Tribolium castaneum: one gene and its partner. The protein of the gene in region 1 interacts with the protein of each later gene in a pairwise test. Links are inferred from orthologs where the notes say so. Each region holds a gene or a part of one and is shown on either strand. Other genes may lie near its edges.

Region 1 (6,417 bases):
AATGTAACGTTCCGGTTGAAAATTTTAAATGTTTATACAGAAAGACTTTATCCAACCTAATATAATGATACGGAATATCCAAGAAAATTTTAGTTTTCTACTACAAGTTTGTAAGTTCTGGTCAGTTTTTGAAGCACTCTAGATTTAACTTTTTTAACCTTTTTTAACCTCTTATTCTCCGCATTTTCATTTTTCTTTGCGAAGGCTAAGGATAGTAATTTTTTTTTATTGTCAGTAAGGAATAAGCTCGACTAAAATTTACCCGAGCTTTCATCAAAAATGTGTGCTTAAGCTTATCGCCATCAAAGCTCAGTTTCAGTGAAATTTATGTCATGAACCTAAGTTTAAATCAAATTTGTGTTTAACAACTTCGTTTTAAAAACGTTTTTTTTATATTCTGTATATAAAAAAATTCTTTTTGTAAACAGTTTTTCTGTAAATATCCGTAAAATTTTGAGTTTTTTTGTTATCAACTGAAAGATTATAGGAGCTTAAAATTTAGAAAAAAAATAACAGTTTGTTATCAAAACTTACATTTTACTTTAGTTCACTGCTCTTTTAAGTTAAGACTTTAATTCCGACCTCTTATTGTCTAATAAAGGTAATGATGAATTTAACAATTATCTTGTATTAGAAACAGGTTTAAAAAAACGATCGTTTGGTCCTCCAAATAAAAAACCTCTTATTAGTTATTCGGTACACAGGAGTTTCTTTCCTTAAATCTCAGTAAAATTTAGTTTCTTCGGTTTCTACCTAAAATTTGTGTACTCTATGGCTAAAATTTTTTATAAAGTTTTTTGAATTTAAAAAAGTGTTAAAACCCAATTTACTTTGACTAATTTAAAGAAGTTAAAAAAAAGCTTAGTTTTTGAAAAGACACTTTTACTTTAATTTACTGTTTTTTATGTCAGAATTATAAATTCTTAAATAAATGGCGCAAATAAAAAAATTCTTAAATGGTCCTAAAATTTTGCCCTTTTTAATTTCAGGTAAAAAATTAGAGCTCTTTTTAATTCCAACTTAAAATTTATAGCGTGTTTCAAACTGGAAAACCATAGAAAATATAGTTATCCTTGCTTTTCAATATGATTATCGTTTCTAAGGTGATAAGGCGATTAAAATATCCTTAGAAACAAAAGGCTTGGATTATATTGACTCAAGAAGTAATTATTAGTTTGACTGATTTGAAGAAATGTCAAATAAGACACTGTTATTTCAATTTACTGTTTTTTAGGTCAGGATTTCCTTATAAATGCTTCTCAAATAAAGAAATAAGGAAAAATAAACAGATCTCTTGAAATAAATGCAATTTTTTTGACCTTTAACCTTTGTTTATAAAATACGAATCTGGGAAAGTAATTATTAATTTTGCTAATGAAATGACTGATGCAAGTTCTGGGTCATCTATATAATCGATAAAACTGCTGCAACTAATTTTGGAAGCTGAACGCCAATTAAAAAAAGTATTGTGCCTGCAATTACATGGGCAAATTAATAATTCGACAACATTCTAAAAACAAACCATTAACCCAGAAGCATATTTACATATGGGCTAAATGAGCAATAGCCCAGTGCAGCTTTAATAAATTGATCAAATTTTTAGTTATCGTCGCATTTTTTACTTCTTAAGTTCTTAATTGTTTGATTAATGAGTTTTAAGAAGTTTTTAGTTGTAGCTTTGTGACCTAAATGTCTTTGAAAAAAGTCAACGACAACATAATACTCGTTTTATACAAAAAAAGTCGTAAATATGTGTAGGTTTTTCGTAAAAAAAATTTTTTATTAATTTCAGGGTATTTTTTTAAAAGATATCCTAGAAAACCACAGATTTATTTGGTTTCATTACGAAGAATTTTTTCAGATTTTTAATTTAATTTTTAAAACTCTCTTGAATTTTGGAGAACTGAATTTGCTATTTCGTTCAAATAAAGTGATTGAAAAAATATAAAGATAAATATAAATAAAAATATAAAATATAAATATAAATATAAAGATGTATATTAAAACATCAATATCTAGCAGTTTATGCATTTAACAGTTCATTTAAAGTTTCACAAAAGAAGTGATACTTAAAATTTTAAAGGGTGATTTGTACAGTGCGTTCAAAAAGTCTTTAGATCAACTCTTGCTGTGAAATTTTGAAAAGTACAAATTAAATGCACAGTATTTTATTCAAACGACAAGTATTTTTGATCAGTAAAAATAATAAATGCACAGTAAAAATAACAAATGCACAGTAAAATAACAAATGCACAGTAAAAACAATAAATGCACAAAAAAAATAATAAATGCACAGTAAAAATAATAGATGCACAGTAAAAATAACAAATGCACAGTAAAATAACAAATGCACAGTAAAAATAATAAATGCACTGTTAAAATAATAAATGCACAGTAAAAATAACAATTGCATAGTAAGAATAATAAATGCACAGTAAAAATAATGAATGCACAATAAAAATAATAACTGCACAGTTAAAATAATATTTGCAGAGTAAAAATAACAAATGCATAGTAAAAATAACAATTGCACAGTAAAAATAATAAATGCACAGTAAAAATAATAAGTCCACAGTAAATATAGTAAATGCACAGTAAAAATAACAATTTCATAGTAAAAATAATAAATGCACAGTAAAAATAATAACTGTGCAGTAAAAATAATAAATGCACAGTAAAAATAATAGATGCAAAGTAAAAATAATAAATGCGCAGTAAATAATAGCATCTCAAAACTAGAGAGTGTAGAATTCGCCCCAGCCTGCAAGCTAGCTACTGGGCGTTTATTATTTAAACTGTACGAATTTTACTAAAATACTGAGCGTAGTTTACTTGTCATTTAAATTTTTTACTGTGCGAAAATTATTATTTTTTACTGATCAAAATCGAATTTATTACTGATCGCTTTATTACGACGCAATTTTGAACGTATTTTGATTACTTACGATTACTACGAACTTTAACAGCTTCAATAGAATAAAACGATAATCTATCAATCTAAATTCCACAGCAAGAGTTGATCTAAAGGCTTTTTGAACGCACCGTATTACAAAGTACGACAAAAATCTCTCTGTGTTAATAAAAATTGTTCATTTACGGGGTTTGTACATTTGTTCTTATTCTATAAATTAATCAATAAATGTTGTCTTAGGCAGGGGCGTCAATGGACCTAAATACGCCACTGCATGTTCCTATTCAAAAATGTTTGATTTCATGTTATTGATATTTTTGATTTGACAAGGTTTAGAATAGACTGGTAAATAATTGTCCTTTTTGTAGTCAATTCGTATCAAAATAACCTTTTTCACCTAAATTTTTTATAATGTTGGCAGAGACTTGCTGTATTTGTGTCATACATTGAGGTCATAATGATGCACGTCATTAGTTAGGAAGACGTAATTTACCATAATTTTGTTTGCTGCATGGAGCTTGAATTTATATAAACTGGAAATATGTCCTGGGATTAGCTGAATGAGTTCCATATGTAGGTATATGTTAGCAATGAATGCGCCATCTGGGTCAGACTGTCAAATATTTTCTTGCTCTTCACGACATTTAGTCAAAGTATCAGAATTTTCTTTCCATTATCGATTTTCGATCGAATCAATAAATCGTGTTAACCTTTCCCCAAAAAAGCCGTTGTAATTTGGTGATTTGCCCCCGGTGGGCGTAACTCCCCCATCTTGCGTCATGTCGGCAGACAGCTCGTCTCTTACCAATATCCTTCCGGTGGTGGTCTGTCCCGAAATGAGCTCTCCCGCCCAGTCCTTGGCCTCCGTCATGAAGGTCCCCTCGAACTCCTGCTTGCCCTGCCTGGCGGCCTTCTGCTCCTTCTGCTTCGGGTCATTGGGCCCGTACTGCACCTCCTTGCGGCAGCAGAGGAAGGCGAACAGCCGCCACACCAGCACGATGAGGAGGCCGGCCAGGAAGGTGAAGATGCTCGAAAGCAGGAAGCACCAGTATTTCCTTTCGTCGAGGCATGGGTCCGGGGTGGCGGTGCTGGAGATGGGCGGCTCGGTCGCCGCCTCTTCGCTCGTCATCCCGCGCTAGGCGGCATCCACTCGCGCCACCGTCGTCGTACACTCACCGAGGTGCTCGCATCCGCGACGGAGAGGAGACGTGCTGTCGACGGCGAGCAGCTCCGAGCGCAACTGACGCGACGCCGACGTCGCCCCGCTGCTATACAGGATCATGCGGGAATCAATACGAAGGACGCCCTGGCGGCGTGCGCCGAGACGACAACACAGAGGCGGCGCGCCGCAAACAACTGATCAACACAGACCTACAGCCACTTGACTTCGCGTGGACGCACGACATTTTTCTTCAAGTTTTTTTAACACAGGCTCACTTTACGCAGTGGCATACAGAGTGATTCGGATAAAATAAAGAGCCTGACGACCTGCCGATGCAATCAAAAAAACATATTTCATTTATGCCTTTGATCCAATTTAAATTAGGATTAGCAAGTTGAATCCAAGTTATCAACTTATGTCACTCCGACATTAGCGCAGAGAATGATCATTATTGCCATTCAATTTTCGAGGAATGATAGAGAAAGTAGAGAAGTCTTTTCGGTGTATAAACTACAATACAAGGCGGCCCCTAAGAACTGTCAAAACGATCCAAAAACATGTGTTCCTACTTTTATATATAGCGTGCTCAAAAACTGGCGCACCAACTCAATGGTGTGTGGTAGAGAACTGGTTACATATAAAGGTAAAAATAGTAAAAACATTCTTTGTATTAACGTTATTGATAAATAACGGATTTTAGATAAATGATATGTGGCAACGTTGTCTAACAGTCATAATCGCAATAGAATTTGAGCAACAATAAAAATAAATTATTTTTGAAACAGTTTCCTAGGAAATAATTCCCAGTGTTGGCACATCTACACATTGTGATTTTTTGGATGAATTTTATTTTTTTTAAATTAAAAAAACTGCCAAAATCTGATAGTAAATTTAAAAATAATTATTCATTGTTTTGTTACGGAACGATTACCTGGTATGAAACATAAAATCATAAAAAATAATGAAAACCAAAGAAATTAAACACAATAAGTTTGTAGCTCCAGATTTTTAAAATATGACTTTAGGAATTTTTTCAACATTTTTCCCATAATCTGCACTTGCTTCTCAATAACGTACCACTGAGTTGGTGCGCCAGTTTTTGAGCACTCTGTATATCCCAGAAAATCGACAACGGAGCAGTACCAAATAAAAAGCAAAATGATTAGGAATCAATTTCCCACAAATCTACAGATTTTCCATTTAGAATTGAATTCGTGTATTTTTGGGTATGCTGATCTGATAAAGTTTTGACTTGGGTGCCAAACGCAAGATCTACACAGATCGGAAAAACATACACCCACCATTCACGCACATCATTTGCATGCTAAAATTGATACCCGATACTAGCAATAGCAAGGAAAAAACAACCTTTAGAAAAATTTCTCTGAGAAAAAGATTTTTTAAATATTACCGCTTTAAAAATCTAGTTTGAAGTGCCAGATGAAGGCAGTACAATGGTTTCTGGTTGAAAATTGTTGTCGATTTTGAGATATGTGTAAAAGTATGATCTTATGGATTTTTGATCATTTTGACAGTTCTCAGGGATCGCCTTAAACATTGTTGGGCTTCAGTAGATTTGTCAAAGAATTCAAAAATTAAAATTTTAAATTTTTCATATTTTTTATGTTAAAAAATTACGGTATTTAGCCGCAGCTCACCTCTCGTAGTAATTAAATACTTTTTAGGAACTGGTAAATTCAGAAATACTTCTTTATGCAACTGACTCCGTAATGGCGCTTTAAAGAAAAGTTTTTACATTACATATTGTCGGACCACCTTTGTCCATCTTTGAATCAACTAGAGAATTGAATTAATTGTTACAAAATTTGATAAAAAAAAGGATTCAAAATTCTGTCAATATCTATCTTTCTTGTTCAGTTTTTCCATAAGTACTGAGCATATGGGGGCGCAAGTGACCCACCAGACTCTCAGTCACAGTTAGGTAATAGATTTGATTCCGGATCGGGCGCATCTAACCCACTTCAGGTAAAAAGACGCAAGTGTCCCAACACCGAATCCAAGTTATCTACCATCTTATGTCACTGACATCAGCTCAGAGAAGAATCATTAGTGATCATTAGTGTCATTCAGTTCTCGCAGAATGATAGAGAAAGTAGAAAAGTCTTTGCTGTGTAAATACCAATACAAAATGTAATGAAAATGAAAGATTTCATCAAAGATAGGCAAACAGTTTTTTCAAAATCAGAAGTTACAACAATAAACAGGAAGTCAAAATGTTGGCCTTGCTTATTTTTCGAGGTAGAGAAAAGGCCCAACTATGTGATTCACAAAGAAGCGAGAGGCCACACCAAACGTTCACCAAAAGAGTTCCTTGGAAATTTTC
Region 2 (6,560 bases), on another chromosome or scaffold:
TCTCGTGAAAAATGGGTGAAAGATTGAAGACAAAAACAATCAAAATTGCTATAGAAGGATATTATTCTCCATCATTACTGCAGCTGGATTCTCAAAGTGATTAATGGGTCAACTTCGAAAGCACCGATAATCTATTATATTTCATCCGTATCAAAAAACAAAGTAATAAATGGACCATCATTTTGCAATATTAAAATCGTTTTCCCGGCGACAAGATCGATCCAAAACAGGTGAAACTAAGCGATGACGTGGAGGAGAAAAATTCAATTAAGAGTGGAGACGTTAAGTGGAAATTTATTATTCAAGCGATTTTTGAATTTATGATTTGAAACAGTTCCTCCATTCATGAAGCTATCCGTTGTGAATCAATCTGGCACAACTTTTATGGCTCACTAGACCACAAAACCGATTTCATCACACGTAGTATAAAACGCCAAAATTAGACGACATTGAACTCTTCCTGAATGACAGAGTTTCACACAATTGGCGAAGACCGTAAAGTTCAGCTGATTAAAGAAATGTAAATAGTCAAGCCTTTGTACGGCTTTGCACAAAATCCATAAAATTTGGATTAAAGTTTTCCAATTAAGACGCACAAAAGGAATAGTTTGAAGATTTATGAATCTGCCACAGGGAAACTTCCGAAAGATGATGCACACAGAAAAATCCTTGATCATTGTTATAAATTCCCGCATTATGGGTAAAATTGGCAAAGTTTGAACAGTAAATTAAGTCTTCGATCAATCACGAATGTTCCGTGATAAAAATAGTAATGTCAGACAAGCCGGAATTTCCGTTTAGTTTATTACCGTCACGAGCAATAAATTAGGAACGTCTAATAAAATACACAATTGATTATAATTCCAGTTAAAATTAATTTCGACGATCGTTTATCGCGAGTTATGGTAATATTAGCCTTGCAAATGGAAGATCAGGCGTGCTTTATTGGCACTGGAAATCGATAGAATCGACAGGGACGCAATGAATTCGAGTGAAAGATTTATCGTTGCGATTTCCTGAATCGTATGGTCAACAGTCAATGCGTTTGCCAACACACCGAGCCAGATTCAAGATCAGAGCAAATCCTTGTGAATTTGTCATATCGCTTTCATTTCAGGAAACTTCGCCAAATTGACGAATTAATCCCACGCTAAATAAATAAAAATCCCGGATGTGTGGATGAATGAGCATACAATCGTAACTTAACTTATACCCACTTTCACAACTGTTATTTTCAAATTAATTGGGTATGAAACAATCAGGCGCTTACTCGTACACAATTAATGTTTTATTCAAATATGCAAAAATGCATCTGCCTACGCACCTGCTTATTATTCATTGAAACTCGCAAAGAAAAAATATCAAGTTTGATAAGCAACTCCAACAATAATAAAGTTGGCAAGTTGTTATCCGTGAGTAGACTCCGAACAGTGTTTGTTGCTGAATAGCTGCAGAAATAACGTTATGGAATTAATGAGGTCTCAGTTTTAGATAACAAAAATTTAAACTTTCGTAATAAAAATTCTAAATTTATGTAAGACGTTGTTACATGCAAATATTTCTAAACAGCAATCTCCTTGTCTTAATTAATATCTCGTTTACATCACATTGAAAAACAAGCTTTGTTCGAGCGTCAGTTTAAAAAAATCTATTCTCCTCCTTATTTTATGGTTTTGTAAGACAAACTTCCGTTCACTTACGAATATAAGTACGTATACCTAAAATTTGATATTCCAGCTTTTTCAACCCTTTGTTTGAAACATATGTACGTAGATAACGTTTGTTTGCTCACATTAAAACAGTGAAAACAGAGAATTTAGGATTCAGATAAACAAAAGCGCCACCTATTACTGTGCAACGGCCTGGAAAACAAAACTACAGGCAGAATAACTGTGCGAGGAGTGGTTGACTTCACAAACTGTATAAGTAGTACACATGTAGTTAATTTTATACGTATAAATACGTATAAGTATTTAAGTAAATGTAACTATCACACGTTTAGTGTGTTAATTCTCATTTTTTGCTATTTTATTTTCTTACAAATATTAGAAAAATGTATATTAACGCTCTTCCAAGTTTTTTTTTATATTTCCAATTACGTAGTTTCAGTCAATGTGTTCATAACTTAGAAAATAGAAAGTATAATAATAATCGTAAGAAAAAAAAATTTACAAACGTTTGACAATGACGATTGGATGTTATACGCATTAGTAAAGACTGCTATACTTCATTTTTTCTTAGAAATTTAAGTATAGTAATCTGAAACTAAAAATACGCTTCCAATCAAGGTTATTTTAACCAAAACTTGACACTTCTTGCAGCGTTTAAAATATTTTTTTCTAAACTGCCACCATTTAGCAACGACTTTCTCCACTTCTATCTTATTTTTCTGAGTAATTCTTCAGCTTTTTTCTTTTTCTCTTCTTGCTTCTTTTGTTCAAGCAGAAGTCATCACTAACCAGTACAGAAAGTACTTTTTCTTTTTCACATAGTTCATTTTAAAAAACTAGCTTCATTTAAAACTTTATTTTAATAAATATCAGTTTTACGTTTAGTATTTTTCGTACGTATTTTATTTTTCGCAAACTCTCAAAAAAACATTTTGAGAAATGTATACTCACCAACGATTTTAGCAATTACATAAAGTAACAGCAATTTTAATAGTTTAGTTGTTTCACGCAAATATTGTCCTAATTTAAAAATACTCTTGAGGAAATATTCTCCACATTTATCTTTTTTTAAGCAATTTCCTCTTTTTCTCTTCTTGTCTTTCCTCTTCAAGCCGAACACAGTCTTCACTAGCTGGTATAGTGTTTTTTTCCTTTTTTACATTTCATTTTTACTTTTATGTTTTATAATTACTTAAGCATCATTTCTGCGCCAAGACAGTAGTTTTTTCAATCTCCAAGAATTGAATTAGGAGTAATTATTACTGTCCATGTGTTTAATAAATTTTAGTCGGTAAAATAAAAGTTAGAATTTTATTTTTCCAGGATAAGTATTTAATTTTAGTGGCATTATGTTGCGATTTTTCTCCTTCTTCATGTTTTTTCTACACAACATTATTGTACATTTATGTACTTAAAAAAACACGCAGTTTTTGGTATATTGTCTTAACTGCCCTTAAAATTTGAGATTGAGAATGGATTTGGTAAGAAGTGAACAAAGTTAAAACTATTCAATAGCTATTATGCTAATAGCTATTGTTATTATTAGTACTTATTTTTTAATATATATTAAATATGTTAGCTTAGCTATTCTAACTCATCAGTCATCAGCTAGCGAGTATTTAAAAAAATTTTTTCAAAGTTTTTTTTGCAAATCAATAGAAACCTCCCTTTCGCCGAATGTCCGCAGCAATTTCGACTTATCAACTTTTCAATCTGAATCCTGTAGAACGGTTAACGTCACAATTTCCACACAATAAAAGTCTGCCATAAAGCCCATTTACGATCTCCCAGGCTTTATAAAGCTAACTTTATTGATTAGAAATAGGCTTCTCAAATTGGACGAAAGACCCATTTTAGATGAATATCAATTTATGCAAAGTGCGAATGGAGCTACTTTTTTATCAAAGAGAAAATCTTAAAGACTGGAAGACTGTTCTCTCTTTTCGTATAAAATCGCGCGTTTTTTTATTATATACCTGTCACCACGTCAATAAGCTATGACGTCAAACGTCAATTATCAATTAACGAAGGAATTAATCGTTAAATAACAGACACATGGCTTGTTTTGGTTCAAACCCGTCGTCTGAATTATTTAGGCAGCGTTTAATAAATAAATAAAGCACGCTTGCGTATAAACAATCACATGTTTCAAATAAACAAAACACATAACCTCAAACTGCTTTATTTGAAAAAACTCGAGCTATTTTATGCATAGCGTTCATCTAATATCTATACACAATGCTATAAATAAACAGCAACAATGTTTTCATACATAACAATATTCAATTATGCGAGCTAGCACGTTAATTGAGAGCTGTCAAAGTGCACACCCATGTCGCGAGACACATTTTCTAAACCTAAGTTAACTAAATAAAGTGCTAACTAAAGTTCACATGACAGAAAGCAGCTAACACAAAATTACCTGTTTAATAAGAGGAAGAAGGGTTTGTTCTATACTACGTGTCTTAATTTCTAAACAATCAAAATTTGTTGTACCTACTGCTGCCATTTTCTACACTACTGTTTGTCTCTGTCAGAGACATAGTTTTTCCAATAGTCTCTCTCCCTCCTGTCATAATACATAGTCGGCTTTGGAAAATAATGTCATCGACGATCAGCTGATTACCTCATAGTTGGCTGTCTGTCAACAGCGCCATCCCGCGATCGGAAGCCAAACCTTTCGCACACTAGCAACCCCCTTAAAGAGCACTCCTTGGAAATAAAACACCAAGATCGGAAAATTCGTATTTATTTCAACAAAAAATTATTCAAAAATCGCAAATTAAAATTCATTAAATCCTGCTTATGAGTTCATTATAGTCTACACTGTCGTGCCTTTCACATCCGAAAATAAAACAGTACGCCCTATGCAATTTTTGTCGTCTGAAACAACTCAACTTGCTCTTGTCCATTTTGAGCTGTTTCAGAGCGTTCAGATGAAATTTCCCATCCCCTAAACAGAGAACCCCAAAGAGCACCATATTGGCCAACTCGTAGTACTCTGCCCGTCGTCGTGCACCGCGAGGAACCTGCCTCCTCTTCAATTCTGTCACATATCTCTTTACATTGAACGATATTTTGGACAATTTCGCCAACTCTCTACTGACAAATTGTCGCAACAATCTCCCCGACGATGAAAAAAACATGCTGTTGCAGTGTACTTTTCGTTCAGCAGGGGTCGCAAATTCTAGGCTAGGGATTTCAGGCCTAGGCGCCTCCAAATTGACAGTGTGCTGTGGAGTAGCTATCACAGTGTGCTGTGGAGTAGCTATCACAGTGTGCTGTGGAGTAGCTAAACTTATATATTTCGGTAAGTTGTCACAAAAACTGGTGTAGGCGTTGGAATATTGCGGATACCCTTGCATGTAACCGTCTTGCGGCGCGAACTGATTAGTGTAGAAGTTTTGTTGGTTGGCCACAAACATCCCATTTTGGATAAACGCATTGGCAAATTGGTCGTAATTGCAGTTATAGTTAAGTCCCTGGTTGACTCCTTGCATTACATAATTCTGGGGTGGGTTCGGTGCGAAATTCGGTTGAGGATCTGGCTGCGGCGCCTCTTCCTGTGGCTCATTCTCATTCTCATCATCATACACCTGATCATAGTTTTTAATAAACGGGTCTGTTGGTGGATACATCGACTTGTAAAAGTCACACATGTGTTCCAAGTGGCCTGGCTGGGCACACCCAGAACACCACAAGTTTGGTTTCAGGGCAGGGCCAGAGTACGTTTTCAACGGACCCTCAGTGGTCTAAACACAGTAATTAATTGAATGCAAACCTACGAGAAATATGTACTTACGGTTAAATGGTAGCGCCGCCATAGATCTGGGCAAGTCTCAGGTGCGTGACCAGTCATGGAACAAATTTGGCATTGGTAATCTCGTAGCTTGAAACACAAGCTGCAATAGGCTGTGGTGTAGTAACTACGTTTGCCACACTAAAAATCGCGTTTAGTCTGCGGTCCGCTCCAAATACGGAAGAGTAATACTAGGGGGCGACATGTAATTCAGTATTATATTTAAATATTTAAGCATACACAATTATGACAAAAAAGCACAACGGTTATTTTATTAAAAATTATTGAATATATAAAAATAAAAAAAAATAAAAATATAATAATAATAAGAATTTTAATTTTGAAAATAAATAATAGCCAAAACTGGATAAGATAAATTTAGTTAATGAAAAATGATTTCATAAAAAACGGGATAATGATAATGGCATAGATTGTAGCACAGACCTTTATAGTACCTGTCAATATTTTTTTAACGTGGATTTTTATTTAAAAATAAATGCGTAACTCAAAAATAGAAAAAAAAAAAGATTGTATTTATCCGACTTTATCAGACATACATTGTAGAAAATTTACGTTCAATCGCCTCCTAATATTTTAGCCGACGTTATCCCTCACCTGAGTACACATCTTGTTAGGACATCGAGGTTCGAAATGCCCGCCTTCTCCACACAGCTTGCACTTAGGTTCCAGCTTGTTTGGACATTTGAGAGCTATGTGACCCAGCTCTTTGCATTTATTGCACCTTTTACCAACAGGAGACTTGATAGGAAACCTATCCCTGTCTAATATCGTCCAAAGATTAGGATCATCTACAATTTTTAATTTTCGTGATTACTGACACAAAACAATTAAACAAAGTTACTCGACATCACAAATTGAAGGTCTTGGACACTACAATTTGCCAGATTTAGTACACCGGATTTGGAAGTAGACGCAGTACAGTCAGGTTCAAATTTCGCCTCACAATTTATTAATTGAATGTCTTGATCTTCAGCAAGTGAAGATAAAATCGAATCGGAATCTGATGAGATAGTTTTGATGTCGGTGGTGGTGGCAAACGTTTCATCAACGACAAGAAACCCGTCCATAGC

What was found. The genes of interacting proteins can lie anywhere in the genome.
Region 2: the proteins of slo (region 1) and alpha-Catr interact in a two-hybrid assay, tested with the Caenorhabditis elegans proteins (2 studies listed by BioGRID, with this or other methods). The link is inferred for Tribolium castaneum from reciprocal best matches to the Caenorhabditis elegans genes slo-1 and ctn-1.

What each region holds. Positions count from the first base shown.
Region 1 is NC_087400.1:8,503,492-8,509,908, reverse strand, and holds the start of slo (calcium-activated potassium channel slowpoke), read right to left. Parts: upstream 4,238-6,417; 5' UTR 4,041-4,237; coding exon 3,717-4,040; intron 1-3,716. UniProt on the Caenorhabditis elegans protein: Potassium channel activated by both membrane depolarization or increase in cytosolic Ca(2+) that mediates export of K(+). Its activation dampens the excitatory events that elevate the cytosolic Ca(2+) concentration and/or depolarize the cell membrane.
Region 2 is NC_087394.1:28,275,113-28,281,672, forward strand, and holds the start of alpha-Catr (alpha-catulin), read right to left. Parts: upstream 4,263-6,560; 5' UTR 4,180-4,262; coding exon 4,093-4,179; intron 1-4,092. Other genes in the region: uncharacterized protein Zcchc7, read right to left, coding at 4,463-5,422, 5,473-5,610, 6,085-6,278, 6,332-6,560. UniProt on the Caenorhabditis elegans protein: Required for slo-1 potassium ion channel clustering at presynaptic terminals and in egg-laying muscles; clustering of slo-1 mediates the intoxicating and sedatory effects of ethanol on worms.